2 linked regions of the Canis lupus familiaris genome follow. The protein of the gene in region 1 interacts with the protein of each later gene in a biochemical or structural test. Links are inferred from orthologs where the notes say so. Each region holds a gene or a part of one and is shown on either strand. Other genes may lie near its edges.

The links.
Region 2: the proteins of DCN (region 1) and TGFB1 form a complex in vitro, tested with the Homo sapiens proteins (3 studies listed by BioGRID). The link is inferred for Canis lupus familiaris from reciprocal best matches to the Homo sapiens genes DCN and TGFB1.

The regions. Positions count from the first base shown.
Region 1 is NC_049236.1:32,179,896-32,184,425, reverse strand, and holds the start of DCN (decorin precursor), read left to right. Parts: upstream 1-1,485; 5' UTR 1,486-1,639; intron 1,640-4,530. UniProt on the Homo sapiens protein: May affect the rate of fibrils formation.
Region 2 is NC_049222.1:113,412,255-113,416,489, forward strand, and holds the start of TGFB1 (transforming growth factor beta-1 proprotein), read left to right. Parts: upstream 1-1,272; 5' UTR 1,273-2,164; coding exon 2,165-2,519; intron 2,520-4,235. Other genes in the region: B9D2 (B9 domain-containing protein 2), read left to right, coding at 112-425. UniProt on the Homo sapiens protein: Transforming growth factor beta-1 proprotein: Precursor of the Latency-associated peptide (LAP) and Transforming growth factor beta-1 (TGF-beta-1) chains, which constitute the regulatory and active subunit of TGF-beta-1, respectively.

The sequences.
Region 1 (4,530 bases):
GGGAGCAGGGACTCTACAAATGAAAATGGTGTGCTTCATCCCTTGGGGTGAGACATGTACATAGACATCTATACCATGAAGGAGGAGCGATCGCATGTCATAGGAAAGAAATGGATGCAAGAGGAGTTCAAGGGGGAAACATAATTAATTCCACATAAAGGAATCATGGATCCTGCACCAACGTCCAGGGAAAATAATACCTGGCTTTTTTCTAAACCATCCGAAAAAGTGGGCATGTGGTTATTCAATGTCAAAGAGAGGAGGCGTGGGGGTAGGATGTGATAAAATTAGGGAGGCAGGTCTTGGGAAATAGGGAAAAATGTCATGTGACAGCACCCCTCCCCTCCTTTAGATACCCACTCAAGAATTTAATTCCTTCAGGTTTCATCAAGGCAAAAGTATTTACTGTAGAATTGTGCATTTGGGTGGGGGGAGGAAGGAGAGGGAAGGTGGAGGATGGGAGGGCTAGCTCTCATGTTTCACAGATGTTGATTTCAAGTTTCCACCTGGTAACAGCCTGGGGGCCAGGGCATAAAGATACAAGTCAAAACATAGAGACACACAGGGAGAGAATTAAACAGCATCCAGCAAGGGAATTACAAAATCTCAAAAAAACCTTCCAGTGGCTAAATAAATACCTTTTCTTGTATTTACACTTTCTCTTCTATATTTACTGAAATTTGAAAAGAGCCACAGACTCTGTTGCCTTTTCAAAGTTCTGGACTATATACAAGTGTTGTCCGGGAAAAATCAAAATTTTCACACCCAGGCTAAATGAAAATGTGACCAATTTCTAGTATCTGTGTGTTTGATTTAGAAAAATAAAGAGAAACTCAGTGGCTGGTAAACAACAAGAAAGATGATGAATAATATGAAATGATAATAATAGCAATAAGTGACTTTCTTTTCATATAAATCCATCACTTTCTTCCAGGACACTTTAGAAATCTGTTCAAAATACATAGAAAAACTCCACAGCAGAGTCCTTGGATTTGCACAAACAGCCCAAGGCAAGTAAGCATCTGAAAGAGTATTTTCACAGAAATCTACCCATGTGTTTTCCTGCAGACCACATTTAAAATATCTACAAAATTAATTTAGTTCCATTTGCCAGATTTACATACACATCATGAAAGCAAGAAAAACGGTCATTTCGGAAGTATAAACGTTCCTTATAAACAAGACTCGAAAGGGTGGATAGTGGAGTCAGGCTGGGGGTGGGGAAGCAAACCCTTTAGTTACTGTGTTTTAGGGAAATGAATCAACACAATAAAACAAATTTCAGATCAAGTTGCCCCTCTATACCACATAAGCAGTTTAGAGTCTTAAGCAGATGCAAAAAGAATAAAGCAAATGGGGAGAAAAAAGGCCGATAAACTTTCTGGCTGCCATACAAGAGACATATCATTACCATATGATCTAATGTGGGTGTCAGCCGGATTGTGTTCATTGAGGGAAACCTTATTTTTTAACTGTGCTATGGAGTAGAAGCAGGAGGTTCTCAACCTAGTGACAGTCACAGAGCAGCACCTACCCCCTCCTCCTTTCCACACCTGCAAACTCTTTTGCTTGGGCTGAATATTTAGTGTAATTACATCTCAGCTTTGAGGGCTCCTGTGGCAAATCCCCGGATTAAAAGGTATGGTTTTCAATAATTGTCCTGAACTCTGCTACAGACTAATAAAACTTCGATCAAGTTGAGAGCAAAAGGAATTATTTGGTGAGAAGCAGAAAAGAAAAAAAAAAAAAAGAAAATCGTGCTAAACTTTTGATAATCTTTATGCAGCATTTTAAACAAGTATTGCTTGAAGACAGAAGTTTAATTTTTGGTAAAATGGTTGAATGCATTGTTTTAGTTCTTTCTGTTCTTGCAAAGATGTTTATTAAAAAAATACTCTAACCTAACACCATGAGTATCTATATTGATATATTTTGTATTTGTATTAATGAAATGTTTTACCTCTTTAGAAAGTATTTGTAGAGAAGTTTTCTGGATCAGCAGAGTATTTGTAGTTGGGTTATATATATAAGGATTTAGTTCCCTCTTGAATTCTTGCATATTTTCAGAACTTTTAAAACCTCAGAGATGTGAACTCTGGTGATTAACTGCAGAAGTCAAATAAATGTATATTTCTACAACCTAGGAAAGAATAGAAATTATCACGAGAGGTGAAAATAAACATTGAAAATACTTATGCTACTTATTAAAGATAATCTCACAGTTAGCTACATAATTCCTGACAGAGAAGGAAAAAGCCCAGACAGTATTTTCAATGCAAATGAAATTTTATTGTAAGGTACATCACTAGAAAAGGAGGGTGTAGGGTGTAGGTTCTTTTTCTTGCTAATTTTAAAACAAGGTAACACAATGACCACTGGTTATGTGGGCTCCCAGTGACATAAATTCCTGTGGGTTTTTCTTTTCCTCTTGCTATTTTGACTGGAAAAAAGAACCAAATGCCTTATAGCAGTCCTTATATATGGATAAATGTCATCTGCAATGTCTATTTTAAATTAATTATCTTAAAACCTCAATTATTATTGAAGTTTTTCATTCACCTAGTGCTGGGGGATTTTATTTTGCTCTGCAGTTACAGTTTCATTTATCTCCTGAGGGTTAAATTTTGATATTGAAAATCATACCAAAGGCATAAATCACATCCTACAAATAATCTGAATGATAGAGTTAATTTAATGGGCTGAAGTAGTTTAGGGAGCCAGAAATTACTATTTTTTATGAAACTCTTATAAACGGTGGCGACTAACTTTAGTGGAGTAGTGACATTATACTTAGCAATTAGCATCTAGGAAAGAGTCATACTATTTTTTTAAGAAGGCTTAAAATAATTTCAATGAAATTCAGAAAGTATGTTACCTCAGTAATAATCCTCTTGGTTTCTGCAAGGGCAACTGCTACTTTTTTGTTTATTTTTCTTATATACTAAGGAAGAAAGGAAATGATTAAGAAATTTTTAATATCAATAGCCCCCATTAATTGTTTTAAGATGCTGGGTCTACAAGTATGATGACACTAATTTAAAAGAAATCATTTCATGGCTGAATTTGTATGAAGTTTCTGGACATGTTATTCTCCAGGACATTCAGGGTTAAAAGGCACACACACACACACACACACACACACACGCACACACAAATCAAAGTGATATAAAATAAGTAATGGAAGCTCGAAACTTCTTGCTTGTGTTCAGCTTTAACCAAGAAAAAATTGTGCAGAGAATTTGCACCATTTTAACAAGAGTAAACACATACAAATGATAATATTCCTCTGAGCTAGAAAAAAATTTCCTTTTTTTGGGTTAGTGAAACAAGCAGGCATTTTCTGTCCTGGAGAAAAGATCAAAAAGCAACATCTGCATTAATTCTCATTGCTATTTATTAAATCTGCAATTACTTTGCTTCATTTTTCGTCTAAAATTGTAAGATATTAAATATGCAAGGCTAGCAAACTGTGGTAAACCGTAAACATTGCATTTTAATGTGAAACAGACAGAAAACCACTCCCTTAGATCCAGTCCAAGGGAACAGGGCCAAAACAATAGGGTGTCCGTTAAAAGGCAATGCAGTAACTGAATGGGAACACGCTCCCAGGGAAAACCTGATACTGAATTTAAAGGGGCAGTGTAAATAATAATCTTTGCAGGGTTTTTTAAATGAGAAGCCACATGCTGTATATACGCTGCCTTACACACACCTCAGCAACAAATATAAACTAAGAACAAAAGGGTACAAAATCCAAAAACTTTTTTTTTTCCCTCTAGAGTGCATCTAGCCAAGAATTCCCAGAAGATACATAGATAGATGCATTAAGGTTAGGACAAAGTTGTTTGTTTTTTTGTGTGTGTGTCTTTGTTTGCTTTTTGTTTTTGTTGTATCGTTGCATGTGTTACAATTGGCAGATGACTAAAAATTATTCTTGATGTCTAGTTATAAATGTGCAACTTTTTTAAAATAAATTTATTTTTTATTGGTGTTCAATTTGCCAACATATAGAACAACACCCAGTGCTCATCCCGTCAAGTGCCCACCTCAGTGCCCATCACCCAGTCACCCCCACCCCCCCGCCCTCCTCCCCTTCCACCACCCCTAGTTCGTTTCCCAGAGTTAGGAGTCTCTCATTTTCTGTCTCCCTTTCTGATATTTCCCACTCATTTTTTCTCCTTTCCCCTTTATGCCCTGTCACTATTTTTTACATTCCCCAAATGAATGAGACCATATAATGTTTGTCCTTCTCCGATTGACTATAGAAATGACCCCTGAAAGTATAGTCTTTAAATGTGCAGCTTTAATATGATTCTTGTCAGTGTAGGATTCAAAGTAGATGTGGGGAAACGAAAGATAGTATCTGCTCTGTGTTTTGGGAATCTTGAGAGCAGTTTCAGGAGGGTTTTAAAACATATCAAGTCAAAAACAGACTGCTTGTTCTCTACATGATCAACTCCTTTTTGTTATTCTGATCTATTTAGTTCCCTTCAGCCAAACGAACACCAGCTCAACAACCAATGTATGTAT
Region 2 (4,235 bases), on another chromosome or scaffold:
GGCTGCCTCATGGATGGGAGTCCAGAGAGAAGGCTGGGGCAGAAACCCAGTGGGGAGGGGGCCGGGGGCCTCCATCGCTCCCGTCCTTCCTCCTTCCCTCCCACCCTGCAGGCTGGCCCCGGCTCCATCTCCAGGTGTGGTCGCAGGACAGCTTTGGCCGCTGCCAGCTGGCGGGCTACGGCTTTTGCCACGTGCCCAGCAGCCCGGGCACCCACCGGCTGGACTGCCCCACGTGGCGGCCCCTGGGCAGCTGGCGGGAGCAGCTGGCTCGGGCCTTCGTGGGTGGCGGCCCTCAGCTGCTGCACGGGGATGCCATCTACAGCGGCGCCGACCGCTACCGGCTGCACACGGCGGCCGGAGGCCTGGTCCACCTGGAGCTGGGGCTGCTGCTGCGCCACTTCGACCGCTACGGGGTGGAGTGCTGACCCTGCCTGCCCGGGAGGGGGCCGGGGGCTCTGGACACTGTCGGGTCTGACCCCAGCCAGTCCGGCAGTGGCTTCTGTCCCCACTAGCACCTCCAGCCCGGTGGCCACCCCCTCAGATCCAGTTTCCTTGTCTGTAAAATGGGGACAGTGAGTGTGCGGGGTGGCGGGGGTCAGGTGAGAAGAGGCTGGTTTGCCCTGCAAATGCTCAATAAAGGAGAGCGGTTCTTACAGGTGTGGGTGCCCTCCTGACTTCCGTCACCGGCCAGGTGCCTTGTGCCCTGTCCTCCCACTGACACCCTCCTTCAGGCCCCCACCTCTGACACACCCACTTCCCCTACCCTCTACCTCAGTCTCTGTCCCCCTCCCCACTCTGGGTTCCCCCACTTAGGACCCTGTCTCCTTGGGGGGGGGGTCTCTCCTCTGTGCCCCTCTCCCCCTGGGACCCCGTCTTCCGGCGGACCCTCTTCCCAGCCTTCCCACTCTCGGATCCCCCGTGCCCGGTGTCCCCAACCTCTGATGGGGCCCGCCCGCCAGGTCCTTCTCTCCGTGACCCCGCGCAGCCCTCGGAGCACACGCCGCCCGCTGGCCCGCTAGGGTTGCGCTCAGCCGCCAGGAGGCAGCACCCCGTTCGCGGGGCGGAGCCGGGGTGCCCGCCCCCTCCCCCCGGGGCTTAAGGGACCCCCCTCGGAGCCCGCCCACGCGAGATGAGGACGGTGGCCCGGCCCCCCCATGTCCTCCCCCTGGGGGCCGCCCCCGCCCCGCGCGCTTCCTGGGTGGGGCCGGGGCGGCTTCAAAACCCCCCGCCGCCCCAGCCGGTCCCCGCCGCCGCCGCCGCCGCCGCCGCCCTTCGCGCCCCGGGCCGTCCCACCCCCTCCTCCCGCCGCGGATCCGCCAGACAGCGAGGCCCCCGGCCGGGGGCAGGGGGGACGCCCCCTCCGGGGCACCCCCCGGCTCGGAGCCGCCCGCGGGCCGGCCTCGGCCGGGAGCGGAGGAAGGAGCCGCCGCGGAGCAGCCCGAGGCCCCAGAGTCTGAGACGAGCCGCCGCCGCCCCCGCCGCCGCCGCCGCCACTGCGGGGAGGAGGGGGAGGAGGAGCGGGAGGAGGGACGAGCTGGTTGGGAGAAGAGGAAAAAAAGTTTTGAGACTTTTCCGCTGCCGCTGGGAGCCGGAGGCGCGGGGACCGATTGGCGCGGCGCTGCCCCGCCAGGAGGCAGGACTTGGGGACCCCAGACCGCCCCCACCGCCGCCTCGGACGCTTGCTCCCTCCCTGCCCCCTCCACGGCGCCCCCCCCGGCGCCCCCATTCCGGACCAGCCCTCAGGAGCCGCCAACCCGGACTCCCGCGAAGACTTGACCCCAGACCTCGGGCGCACCCCCCTGCACGCCGCTCCCCCACCCCCAGCCTCTCTCCTGAGCCCCCGCGCATCCAAGGACCCTTCTCCGGGATCCGGGAGACGGGACCTCTCTCGGACCTGCCTCAACCCCCCTGCTCAGGACCACCCACCTCTGGTACCAGATCTCGCCCATCTCGGTTTTTTCCTTGGGATACCGAGAAACCGCCCATCAGAGCCTCCCCTCCACCTCCGCTCCGTTCTCGCTGAGGGCTTCAACTACCCCACCCCCAACCCCGACCCTCCTACCTTTCTTCGGGAGACCCCCCAGCCCCTGTAGGGGCGGGGCCTCCCTTTTCCCTCCCCAGCCCCGCTCGCGCTCTCGGCAGTGCCGGGGGCGCCGCCTCCCCCATGCCGCCCTCCGGGCTGCGGCTGCTGCCGCTGCTGCTGCCGCTGCTGCGGCTACTAGTGCTGACGCCTGGCCGGCCGGCCGCCGGACTGTCCACCTGCAAGACCATCGACATGGAACTGGTGAAGCGGAAGCGCATCGAGGCCATCCGCGGCCAGATCCTGTCCAAGCTGCGGCTCGCCAGCCCCCCGAGCCAGGGGGAGGTGCCGCCCGGGCCGCTGCCCGAGGCCGTGCTGGCCCTCTACAACAGCACCCGCGACCGGGTGGCGGGGGAGAGCGCCGAGCCGGAGCCCGAGCCCGAGGCGGACTACTACGCCAAGGAGGTCACCCGCGTGCTAATGGTGGAAAACACCAACAGTGAGCTCAGAGGGGCCGGGGACCCTGGAGGGGAGCCCCCAGGGGGCGCCGCAGCGCAGGGGTCACGGGGAGGAAATTACTGGCAGAGGAAACCGGCTAGAGGAAGAGGACCCCCGGGGTTGCCGGGAACGCGGGAGGGGGTCTCAAAGAGGACAGGACTGAGCTCCCTAACCCCCGGGTATCTGGCCCGGAGAGGAGGAGATAGGGGCTTAGTGGACCGCTCCTAGAGGGCCGTGAGAACACGCGGGCCCGTGGGGCAGCCCCCTAGAGGGAGAGAAGCAGTTTGGGGGGGTGTGGAAGGATAGAAGGGCTTCCCTCGCCACCGGGCACTAGAGGGTGGGGGTCCTGGGGTGAGGGCTGCAGAGAGGGAGCCCGCTTCGGGAGAAGCGAAGTCCCCAGCATTTGAGAAAGGAAAGGAGAGCCAGGAGGGGAAAGCTGACCCAGGGCCCAGGGGTCACGAGGCGAGAAAATTCAAGGACAGAAAAACTAGGTGAAGCGAAGCCCCGAGGTGCCGGGGAAGTGAAGAGCGGCCCCACTCGCAGCGGGCGCGGGGAACACGCGGGGCTGGGGAGGGCCCACAGAGACGCGGCGAGGGGGCTGCTGAGTGCGGGGAAGAAGGGGGCCCGAGGTCGTGGGGTGGGGGGAGGTCCCAGCGGGGGCGCAGCGGAGCCCCCCGGGATGCGCGCCAGGTGCCCCGAGTATTTGGCATAGGGACGTGAGCCGAGCGAGCCCCCAGGACACTTGGGCGGTGGGAAGGGGTTTAGAGAGAGGGAGACAAGCAGGGGAAAGGGGGGGCGGGGAGGGGGTGCAAGGAGACATAAATAGCGCCGTGCCGGGAGCAGCGAGCCCCCCACGCCGCGGGAGGGGAGGAAGTGGGCTGAGTGAGGACTCGAGCCCTCGGGGGAGAAGTGGGTGGGTGCGACTCTGCAAGATCGGGGTGAGAAAACCGACTGGGTCGGGGTGAGGGAGCCCCACGTGGGTGCCACGCGCGGAGGGTGGAGCCTGCCCTCCCGGAAGGCGGGGGGAGGAGGACCCCGCACGGCTGAACGGGGAGAGCCTGGACCCCAGATTCCCAGTTCCTCTCCGGGAGGCCGGGGAAACCCCAGCGTCCGGCCGCCTCGTCCTCCCTTCCCTTTCCTTCCCGTGCCCGGGGGGCGGGGATCGCGCGCGGAGCCTGGGGCGAGACGGGGCAGGTCGCGTCCCCGCCCTCGCGGCGGCGGCGCCTCCCGCCCTCTTCACCCCTGCGCGGGGCGGGGCTGCCGCTGGGCCCGCCCCCCCGGCGCCCACGCGGGGACCCAGGTGGCCCGCGTGGCGTGGAGATTTGGTGGGGTGGGGTGCCCCTGTTCGCACACTCTGTCTTGAGTGGTGCACCTGTGGGTCCCCCTACGCCTGGGTGGCAGCTCCAACCAGATGACGCCCCTCCCCACCCACAGCTCGGCCTCACCTCTTCCGTGGTCGCTTCACCTTTCTTTAACGCTGACACCTTCCATCCTCGCCTCCCCTCCCAGGCTGCCTCCATCTGGCCCCCAAACCCCGTGTCTCTCCCGCGTGTGCCTGCCCCATCTCTGCCTTTCCTCTCTCCTGCATTTCCCTGCACGCTCTCCCCGGTGCTGTCTCCTCCCTCTGTCTCGCTCTCTCTCCTCCCCCCTGCTCCTCGGGTCTCCATCCCTCCTTTTCACGGGTCCTGCCCCTCCTTTCTCTCCCCCTCCCTCTTTG